Linked DNA regions of Callithrix jacchus. The protein of the gene in region 2 purifies or fractionates together with the protein of the main gene of each other region. This does not show direct contact. Links are inferred from orthologs where the notes say so. Each region holds a gene or a part of one and is shown on either strand. Other genes may lie near its edges. The genes, in order: TFIP11, DHX15 and SF3B3.

Region 1 (3,651 bases), on a different chromosome or scaffold from region 2:
GACTTAATTATCAGTGTTTATTGAGTGATTACTATGTATCGGGCCTGTGCTATAGACCCCTACTTGCTTTCCTGGAGCCCAGATTCTAGAAGAGGGAAATAGGCATTAACAACTCAGACAATGAAACTTGTAACTGAGATGTAGGACATGAAGGAGAGCATATTTTAGGGCATTTCACCTATTCTGAGAGGTCAGGGAAGATTTCTCTGGAGAAAAGTGACCCTTAAGCGGTTATGACAGACAGTAGAAGATAACTAGGGTGGTAGAAGAGGTCTGAGTATGCAGAGCCGTCGATAGGAGGCATCACAGCGTCCACAAGGGTATGAAAGGCTTTGGGGGCTGGAGCAGAGAGGGGGGAGGGGAGCATAGTGTGTGTGATAGAGAGGATGTGATGTGGGGCTGGGTTATGTTTTGAGAAGACCCTTTTGCTGGTGTGCTCAATGGGTGTGGAGCCACAGTGGAAGATAGCGTGGTGATGTGAGGAGGCCAAGCCAGTGGTCCCTGCGGAGGTAGTGGAGGCCTGGGCTGGGATAGTGGTGGGTGATGAGGATTCAGGCTGCACATCTTCCCAGCACAGGGTTATATGTGCCCTGGCTAAAACTCACTCCACCAGGGTGTGCCAGGTTGGGGTTTTTTTTCCTCCATGGCCTCACCTGTGGCCTCTAGGCTCCATCCCATTGAGAGTGTGCCTTTTTCCTTCTTTCTTTATTTATTTTTTTGAGATGGAGTCTTGCTTTGTGGCCAGGCCAGAATACAGTGGTGCAAACTTGGCTCACTGCAACTTCCACCTCCTGGTTTCAAGTGATTCTCCTGCCTCAGCCTCCTGAGTCGCTGGAACTACAGGTGCATGCCACCACACCCAGCTAATTTTTGTATTTTTAATAGAGATGGGGTTTCACCGTGTTGGCCAGGATGGTCTCCATCTCTTGACCTTGTGATCCACCCGCCTCAGCCTCCCAAAGGGCTGGGATTACAGGTGCGCGTGAGCCACCCCACCTGACCAAGAGTGTGCCTTTTTCAAAGGAGGCTGGGGTAGAAAGAGTACAGAGATTAGTCCAAGCTCTTCCATCAAGGAAGTCTGAAAGTGGATGACAGATAGATGAGGGATCAAGAATTGCATAAACATAAGATAATAATAACACATCTCTTTACTGCTTACTTGTTCTGGCTATTTCACAAACCTGGATTAATTTTCCCTATGAGAAAGGTACCATTATTATCCCCATTTTACAGATTAAGAGACTGAGACTAATGGTCGTACAGCTAGGCAGAGGCTAAGCTACAACTGGAACCTGAACCTATCTGTCTGACTCCAGAGTTTGGGATCTGGACCACTAAGTTACATTATATATCTTTAGGAAAAAACTCCCTGAATTCTCTTGTTGCCGTGGGGATGTTGAATTACTAAGTTGGTCATTTTACAAAGCATCACTTTATTTGCTATATTCCCAGGGTTTTTTTTTTTTTTTCTTTGAAACACAGTCTCACTCAGTTGCCCAGGCTGGAGTGTGCAGTGGCTCGACTTCAGCTCACTGCAACCTCTATCTCCTGGGTTCAAGTGATTCTCATGCCTCAGTGTTTTGAGTAGCTTGAGATTATAGGCGTGTGCCACCACACCCAGCTAAGTTTTTGTATTTTTATTAGAGACAGGATTTTTGCCATGTTGGCCAGACTGGTCTCAGAATTCCTGGCCTCAAGCCTCCCAGAATGCTGGAATTACAGGTGTGAGCCACTGTGCCCAGCTCCAGGGTCTTTCACTGTAATTTTTTCTTTTTTAAACCACACAGTACAAATATATCAACTTGATTTTATACAAAAAGGAGCTGAGGTTAATGACTTAATGTAAGTGCTTGAAGCAGTCAGAGTTTAAATCAGTATGTTTCATTTTACAGAGTTAATTTCTTATTTCTTAGGAGACTTCAGTGTAATTTTTTTTTTCCTTTTTTTTGGAGACAAGGTCTTGCTCTTTTGCCCAGGCTGGAGTGCAGTGACATGACCAGAGCTCATTGCAGCCTCAACTTCCCTGGGCTCAAGCAATCCTCTCATCTTAGCTTTCCATGTCGTGGGGGCCCCAGGCATGTACAACCACGCCTGGCTAATTTTGTTTATTTTTTGTAGAGACGAAGTCTCACCATGTTGCCCCAGCTGGAAATTTTCACATTCACATAAATTTAATGATACAAGCTTTTTCTAAGTTTGATTAATATAATTGTTACATACTTTACATTTATATGATCTTTCAGTGGGTTTTATTTATTCACGATTATCCATCAAAATTTCTGTTCCTGTTGGATTTCTGTACTTGAAATACTTTTCAAACAAATGCTTTTTATGATAAATTAATTGTTTAAAATGTAGGAAAATTGTATTATCACATCATATTTTGGATTTATAGTCAGCTCTGCATTGAATAATAACTCTTCAGCTGTCGAGGAATTGGTGTGACTACAGGAAGCCAAATCTAGGGTCCTTTTGATTTTTTGATGTATTAAAAAAAAGTGTTACTTTTTTAAAAAACCTTCCATGAGGTTCACTCTAAGGAGTTCTCAAGCATGTAGTTTCTGCAGAGAAAGGAGTTCTTTACATGCCCCGTGGGGTCTGTTTCTGTGCTTGCAGGGCCCGTGACTACTCTGCGCCAGTGAACTTTATCAGCGCGGGGCTCAAGAAAGGGGCGGCGGAGGAGGCAGAGTTGGAAGATTCTGATGACGAAGAGACACCTGTGAAGCAGGATGACTTTCCTAAGGATTTTGGACCCAAGAAGTTAAAAACGGTAGCGTTTCTATTGCAGGATTGTGACCCTAGTAATACCCTTCAAAGGTCATTGTGGCCCAAGCATTTTCTAGCCAGGGAGTTCATCTGGAACACAGTTTGTTTGAGTGTCTCCTTTTGGTGGCAGGTTTCTGTGAGATCTGAAGTGTGTAGTGCAGTCTCTTCCTTCCTGGCACGTACCAAACACATTTCTGGTTCATGTGACACTCTTATATAGCACTCTATAACTTAGGCCATTTTCCTGTTGACCAAGCTTCTTAGATTTTTCTTCTTTTTGTTTTTTTTCCATCTACTTTTATTTTTCTTTGCAGGGTGGCAATTTTAAGCCCAGCCAGAAAGGTTTTGCAGGAGGAACCAAATCTTTCATGGACTTTGGCAGCTGGGAAAGACACACAAAAGGAATTGGACAGAAGCTTCTTCAGAAGATGGGCTACGTCCCTGGACGGGGCCTCGGGAAGAATGCACAAGGTATTGCACCCTTGTCATCTTGCATGATGGAGGCCAGGCAGAGGGAAGGAGAGGGGCACTGAGAGAGGTGGTTTTCTTTTCCCTTTTAAAAGCACTTTCTCTTTCCAGCCAAATGTTTGCCAGCACAAGACATGTACGCTCCTAAGCTCCCTTGCTTTATCAAAGCTCAAGTTAAATAAAATAATTGTTTCAACAGGAAGAAAAGGGTTAGGGTCTAAAACAGGCTGCAAACAGATTGAAGACAGACTTTTTTTTGGTCCTGATCAGTGATTCTATCAACAAAAATGAGGCTGGGCATGGTGGCACACACCTGTAATCCCAGCACTTTGGGAGGCTGAGGCAGGTGGAATGCTTGAGGTCAGGAGTTCAAGACCAGCCGGACCAACATTGTGAAACCCCATTTCTACTAAAATG
Region 2 (3,751 bases):
TTGTGGAAAGACACTAAATATGCAGTAATAGTATAATTATAATAATCAAAAAGCTCCACACTTGAAAAGAAAAACACTTATACTTAAGAGACCAGAACAAAGATACCAAAGGGCTTTGGCCAAAATTAGTATAAATAGACTTTATTGAAGTCAGTGCCTCTGTACTGAGACAGAAGATTGTGTCTACATAAGCACAAGTTGTAACATTTCACAACTTCTAAAAGGAATGTCAACAATTACAACGATCATGCATACCATGGTCGATAATCACATTTTAGAAGCATTTTCAACCATTTCTAAAGAAATGCTTATAACATTGTTATATATAGAACTACTTTCAATAAACTGCAAAACATTGATCGACTTTTCCAGTATGAGCTACAGTGTCAACACAAAAGGGAGGCATAAATGTTTAATTTATGAAATCAGAATGGAATATTTACTGTAAAGAAAAATTAAAAAGCTTTCAAATAAAGGCCATTATCGAACCAACGTGAAGAGCACAACTTGAACTTTTGAGTTCATTCATCTTTTAAAGCTGTCCTCTGAATAGCTTCAGTTCTAAGCACTGAATTCAGTACTGTGAATATTCCTTGGATTGAAGTTTGGCAATGATGCGGTCCAACTGTCTCTTTGCTTCACACTGTGGAAAATTGCTCATGTCATAATATTGAGGGGCAATTTTCACCAACCTGTTTAGAAAGGGGGGAAAATGACCAAATAAACATTTAATTAAAGTTCTGGAGTTGTTAACAGAATAGGCATTATTCATTAATATACAGAACCAAGGCAAATCTATGAATTCAAGTCTCATAAAAACACAAATAACTAATCCTTACAAATAGCACTTTTAGAAATGTTAGGTATTTAGTAAGATGTACATTTTCTAATGTTGGACTTACCATAAACTTAAAAAAAAAAAAAGAACCCTCAGGATACATTAATGTAAAGGTAACATATAATGTCACCGATTTCTTTACTCTGGCACACTATTTTAACTTGCCTCTCCAAGGATACAGTAATAAGACAGGTTCTGTGTAGAGAACATCATGGTATTCAAATGATTGGATCTTCTCATTTTCAATGTTTTTTCAATGCTTTAATAACTATAAATATAACTTTATATCCCCAAAATACACTTGACTGAAATCTTTTATAAAGTTTAGCTATGCAATTTTTTTCTCAACAAAGCATTTAAGATAAAATGGTAATGTCCTACACAGTTTGTCAAAAGTCCCAAATCTGTGTAAGAAAGCAGCTGTACAATATAAAGCAGTGACAGCACCTAGACTAAGTGCCTTCAGTCCCACTACTCTTGGCCAACATTTCCTATCACAGGTTACAGAATAGATTCTGGCATAAATAAACAAACAAATAAAAACATGTGGGGGTTACTTTTCTTAAAATGAAACAATCTGTTCTGTTTACATTTTGTAAAACCTAGTATGTTAAAACACAAAGAGCTATTATTTTTATGCCTGCACAGTTCCTAAAAACCAATATATAAATAATAAATAGTTGAGAGCTAATTGTAATGAGACAAATGAAATGTTTTTTAAAAAAGCTGACTTCTGCAAACAAGAAAACAGTACTGACTTGAGATAATCACAATAGCAAGAGAATGGCTCCAAAAAAACTCTAAATTTTTTTTAAAAAAGAAAAAACCTTAAAAAAAAATATTTTTAACAGACAGGGTCTCACTCTGTCATCCAGCCTGGAGTACAATGGCATGATTACAGCTCACTGCAACTTTAAACTCCTGGGCTCAAGCAATCCTCCTGCCTCAGCCTCCCCAGTAGCTGGACTATAGGTGTGCAGCACCACCATGCCCAGCTAATTTTTATACACATCTATATATATTTTTATATTGTACAGGCTGGTCTTAAACTCCTGGCTTCAAGTGATCCTCCTACCCTGGCCTCCCCAAGTTCTGGGATTATAGGCGTGAGCCACCATGCCTGGCCCCTAAAGAAACTTTTCATGCTCTTCAAATGTAACTTTACATTTGGCTTCAAATCCTGTCCATAAATGTCATCAATTCCACTGTCCACTTATCAAAGGAAGGGTATGAAAGATTAACAATACATCCAGTCAATTCCCTCATACCTACACAATGAAATATATATCCTTAATAAGTGAAGGCAAGGCCATGACTCTAGTCATGACCAACAGTCAGGTTCCATTTTGAGCAAACTAACAAAAACCTATTAGAACAAAAGGGGTACTTACCATTCTGGCTTGATATCTGTACATGTCCGGATGTAATTCTTTGTTGTTAGAACAAACTCATTATAAAGCACCCATTCAGGTTTGTGGTCAAGAACAGTAGAGGGATGCAACTGAACCACCTGGTTATCTTTCACAGTTAAGTAATGCCCTGTTCGCTCCAAATGTGCCACCTGAAACCAAAATCCAGCATATCATTAATGCAATGATTTTGATGTGCTAGTTGTAAAGTTACCTATATAACTAGGAAAGGCAGGCCTACCTTTTACTTTTCATTCTATAGCTATACTTATTTATTACTGCCTGATAAAAGCAGAAATAAACAAACTGCTGCCTGTGGGCCAAATCCAACTCATAGCCTCTATTTGTAAGGTCTGTGAATTCACAATAATTTATACATCTTTAAAAAATTAGAAAAAAAAAAAATCATATGAAAAACATTTCGTGAAGCATGAACAGCATGTAAAATTCAAACTTCAGGGCCATAAGGGAAGTTTTATTAGAATACACGCATGCCCATTTGTCTATAGCTGCTATCATGCTCCAAGGGCAGGCAGTGTCAGCTAGTTTTGACAGGGATCCCATGGGTTCACAGAGCCCAACATTTACTATCTGATCTTTCCTGCCATAGACCATCTAGAGCAGGCTCTTCAGCACAGGGTGCCATCTATGAGCAGACAAACAATTACCAGAAAATGCATGTGTAAGGTAGAAAACTAAAGCTGGGTGCGGTGGCTCATGCCTGTAATCCCAGCACTTTGGGAAGCGTGGATCATCTGAGGTCAGGAGTTTGAGACCAGCCTGGTCAATGTGGTGAAACCTCATCTCTACTAAAAATACAAAAATTAGCTGGGCTTAGTGGTAGGTGCCTGTAATCCCAGCTACTAGGCAGGCTGAGGCAGGAAAATCACCTGAACCTGGGAGGTTCAGTGAGCTGAGATGAAGTCACTGCACTACTGCCTGGGCGGCAGAGTGAGACCCTGCCTCCCCGACCTTACCGCACCCCCTTGCCCTCAAAAGAAAAGAACATGTCAAAAAGAAGCCAGTACATATAAAAATAAATATTAAGAATATAGTTAAAGAGTTTCAAGAAAGAAATGTTCACGCCTATTATTCACCAAACTCTAATAAGCCTAAGGTATTATATAATAAAATGCCACAATAAACATTCTTAACTGTTACTCAGATTCAAATACAGACATCTCATCAATCTCCTTTGATTTTTGACTCTGAAACTGAGTGTCTTTAGGCTCATATTCTAGCTACTGAGCCCATCTGGCCTTAATGTAAGCCACATCTTCCTTAACAGATATAGCCAAAGAGAGAATGAACAAACAGGAAAGAAACAGAAGAGACCTATCCCAAGGCAAATGATGTACTATTTGCTTCCAATTTTATCATCACAAAATTTTCTAGTGTTTTTCTCAAAGTTTCTCTTATCTTTTAAAGACCTTCAAATAATTGTTTGCAACATCTACTTGACAACTTTTACTTCTGTTATTATAGCTGTTAATACAGCACACGT
Region 3 (3,651 bases), on a different chromosome or scaffold from region 2:
TTTCAAATTCACAAGTTTTATCTTGATGGGTTTAGTCCATTTCATTTGGCTTTTCAAAGAGCTAGGTTTGATTGAGGGGTAAAGAGTGACTATAGCCAAACTGTCACAGCAACTAACAGTAAGTAATCAATATTCCAAGCTGACTGCTCCCTTAAACTTGTCTACTTAATATGTCCTTAATATGAGTTATTAAGGAGCTAGACAGTCTATCTCCAACACTTTTAAAAATCACTCCACCACATGAAATTCTAACCTCTCAAAAAGAGAGACAAGGTATTCAGATTTACCGCAAATGAATTAATACTCAAACCCTATTAAGCAAAACCTATTAGGTTTGGGTATAAAATGAAACAACTAAAAGGATACAGAGCAGCTCTGAAAGATAAGTACCTGTAATAAGGAAGTTGCCATGTTCCTCCAAAGGTTCACTGTATTTTCGGACCACATGATTTAAACCAAGGTCTAGCTCATAAAAAGTGAGTGTCTGCTGGGTATTAGCTGCTGCTTCCCCTGTCGGATCATTGTCTGCTTCCTACAGAGAACAGTGGCATAAAAACTAATCAGCAGCATAAAATCTAAAAATGCACAGATTTGGAAAGGACATCAGGACTCCATTTTACAAATGAGGAAACAGAGGTCCATAGATGTCAATTTTCGTTGTTGTTGTCGAAAGACAGGTTTTCACTCTTGTCACTCAAGCTACAGTGCACAGTAGTACAATCTTAACTCACCGCAGCCTAGAATTCCTGGGCCTCAGGCTCCCAAACAGCTAGGACTACAGGCACATGCCACTACACCATGCCAAATAATTTGACAAAGTTTATACTACAAAATAATGGCAGAGCTAGAAGAAGTGGAATCTCCAAATTCTGGATCCAGGGATCTCTTTACTAGAGGATACTGCCTTCCATTCAAGGCAAAGAACAGTATGCTCTGTGAAAAAATACATTAAACATAGCTTCAGCTTTTGCATGAAGCTTTTCCCAATAAAAACCTTGTTTCCATAGGGAGATTACTTAAATCAGAGAAAGGCTATTTAATTGTTGGTTAACCTCAGAAACATCCCAAAGAATTTCACTAAGGCATTTGTAATATGGAGATCTGTTAGCAAGACAGAACTAAGATAGGCACAAGGAGCTGGGCAAGGTGGCTCACACCTGTAATCCTAGCACTTTGGGAAGCTGAGGTGAGCTGATCACCTGAGGTCAGAAGCTCAAAACCAGCCTGGCCAACATGGTGCAACCCCATCTCTACTAAAAATACATCAATTATTTTTAGTTGGGTGTGGTGGGAACGCCTGTAGTCCCAGCTACTCAAGAGGCTGAGGCTAAAGAACAGCTTGAACTTGGGAGGCAGAGGTTACAGTGCGCTGTTATCGTGCCACTGCACTCCAGCCTGGTCAACAGAACATGACTCTGTCTCAAAAAAAAAAAAAAAAAAAAAAGATGCACAAGGAAGAAAACAATCTTAAACACTGAGGTGACTGAAAGAAATCCAAAGAGACATGGTCCCCATTACCTCATAATCCATTTCCAGACAAGCAAACATTGGATTTTCAAATCCAACATCTACTCCAACTACGTGATATACTAAAGTGTTTGCTTTGTGGGCTTCCAGGGGAGATGAAATAGTAAGACGGGCTGCAGCATCCCTGTTCAAGATATATACCAATTTCTGTTTCTCAATGGCACCTGTAGTTGAAGGAGATAAAACATAAAAGATTCCCAGATAATGAGAAGAGAGACTTACAGAACAGCTAGAGTCATTTCATGGTTGTTTTTTTTTTTTTTTGAGACGAAGTTTCGCTCTTGTGACCCAGGCTGGAGTGCAATGGCACAATCTCGGCTCACTGCAACCTCCGCCTCCTGGGTTCAGGCAATTCTCCTGCCTCAGCCTCCCGAGTAGCTGGGATTACAGGCACGCACCACCATGCCCAGCTAATTTTTTGTATTTTTAGTAGAGACGGGGTCTCACCATGTTGACCAAGATGGTCTCGATCTCTTGACCTCATGATCCACCCGCCTCGGCCTCCCAAAGTGCTGGGATTACAGGCTTGAGCCACCGCGCCCAGCCGGTTTTCTTTCAGTAATTATTAACAGCACTAACTCTGTAAGTGTATAACTCAGGATTCTGTTCTCAATCATCAAAATAGCACTTTGGGAGGCTAAGGCAGGTAGATCAAGAGGTCAGGAGTTAAAGACCAGCCTGGCCAAGATGGTTAAATCCCACCTCTATTAAATACAAAAAAATTAGCTGGGTGTGGTAACGCATGCCTCTAATCCCAGCTATTTGGGAGGCTGAGGCAGGAGAATTGCTTGAACCTGGGAGACAGAGATTGCAGTGAGCCAAGATTGTGCCATTGCATTCCAGCCTGGGCAACGAGAGCAAAACTGTCTCACCAAAAAAAAAAAAAAAAAAAAGACAATAGATAGTAGAGCCAGGCACAGTGGCTCAAGCCTGTAATCACAGCACTTCAGGAAGTCAAGGAAGGATTGCTTGAGCCCAGGAGTTCAAGACCAGCCTAGGCAACATAGTGAGACTCCCATTTCTTTTTTTTTTTTTTTGAGACGGAGTTTCGCTCTTGTTACCCAGGCTGGAGTGCAATGGCGCAATCTCGGCTCACCGCAACCTCCACCTCCTGGGTTCAGGCAATTCTCCTGCCTCAGCCTCCCGAGTAGCTGGGATTACAGGCACGCGCCACCATGCCCAGCTAATTTTTTGTATTTTTAGTAGAGACGGGGTTTCACCATGTTGACCAGGATGGTCTCGATCTCTTGAGAGACTCCCATTTCTTTTAAAAATAAATAAATAAATAGTTTTTCAAAAAGACAATGGCAGCTGGGCACAGTGGCTCACACCTGTAATCCCAGCACTTTGGGAGGCTGAGATGGGTGGATCACAAGGTCAGTAGTTCAAGACCATCCTAACCAACATGGTGAAACCCCATCTCAACTAAAAATACAAAAAATTAGCCAGGCATGGTGGCACGCCACCTGTAATCCCAGCTATTCAGGAGGCTGAGGCAAAAGAATCGCTTGAACCCAAGAGGCGGAGGTTGCAGTGAGCCCAAATCGCACACCACTACACTCCAGTCTGGGTGACAAAAAAAAAAAAAAAGACAATGGCATCATTGTGGCCCCCTCCTTCCTAATAGGAATCTTAAATATCCCACTGTCAGGGAACAGTGGCTCAAACCGGTAATTGCAGCACTTTGGGAGGCCCGAAGCAGGCAGATCACAACATTAGGAGTTTGAGACCAGCCTGGCCAATACGGTAAAACCCCATCTCTACTAAAAATACAAAAAAATTAGCCAGGCATGACGTCGGGTGCCTGTAGACCCAGCTACTCAGGAGGCTGAGGAAGGAGAATCGCTTGAACCCAAGAAGCAGAAGTTGCAGTGAGCCAAGATCACACCACTGCACTCTAGCCTGGACAACAGAGCAAGACTCCATCTCAAAAATAAAAATAAAAAAAACACTACCCCTCAACCTCATCAAAATTTGTTAATGAGTCCTAGATTTAAGGATATTAAAAAATTGTAATTCATAAAATTATCAGCTTTATTCACTAGATCCAACGATTTTGTGACTGCTCAGAGAGGACTGCCCTCTAGAGGCCTGATCAGATTACACAAAATTTTCTTCAAGAAT

What was found.
Region 1: the proteins of DHX15 (region 2) and TFIP11 purify together in Homo sapiens (co-immunoprecipitation; 4 studies listed by BioGRID and IntAct, with this or other methods). This does not show direct contact. The link is inferred for Callithrix jacchus from reciprocal best matches to the Homo sapiens genes DHX15 and TFIP11.
Region 3: the proteins of DHX15 (region 2) and SF3B3 purify together in Homo sapiens (co-immunoprecipitation; 4 studies listed by BioGRID and IntAct, with this or other methods). This does not show direct contact. The link is inferred for Callithrix jacchus from reciprocal best matches to the Homo sapiens genes DHX15 and SF3B3.

Annotation. Positions count from the first base shown.
Region 1 is NC_133502.1:197,235,665-197,239,315, reverse strand, and holds part of TFIP11 (tuftelin-interacting protein 11), read left to right. Parts: intron 1-2,616; coding exon 2,617-2,770; intron 2,771-3,080; coding exon 3,081-3,237; intron 3,238-3,651. UniProt on the Homo sapiens protein: Involved in pre-mRNA splicing, specifically in spliceosome disassembly during late-stage splicing events. Intron turnover seems to proceed through reactions in two lariat-intron associated complexes termed Intron Large (IL) and Intron Small (IS).
Region 2 is NC_133504.1:169,329,067-169,332,817, reverse strand, and holds the end of DHX15 (ATP-dependent RNA helicase DHX15), read right to left. Parts: intron 2,400-3,751; coding exon 2,230-2,399; intron 693-2,229; coding exon 575-692; 3' UTR 126-574; downstream 1-125.
Region 3 is NC_133521.1:31,389,885-31,393,535, forward strand, and holds part of SF3B3 (splicing factor 3B subunit 3), read right to left. Parts: exon of another isoform or gene 3,615-3,651; intron 1,692-3,614; coding exon 1,519-1,691; intron 533-1,518; coding exon 391-532; intron 1-390. UniProt on the Homo sapiens protein: Component of the 17S U2 SnRNP complex of the spliceosome, a large ribonucleoprotein complex that removes introns from transcribed pre-mRNAs.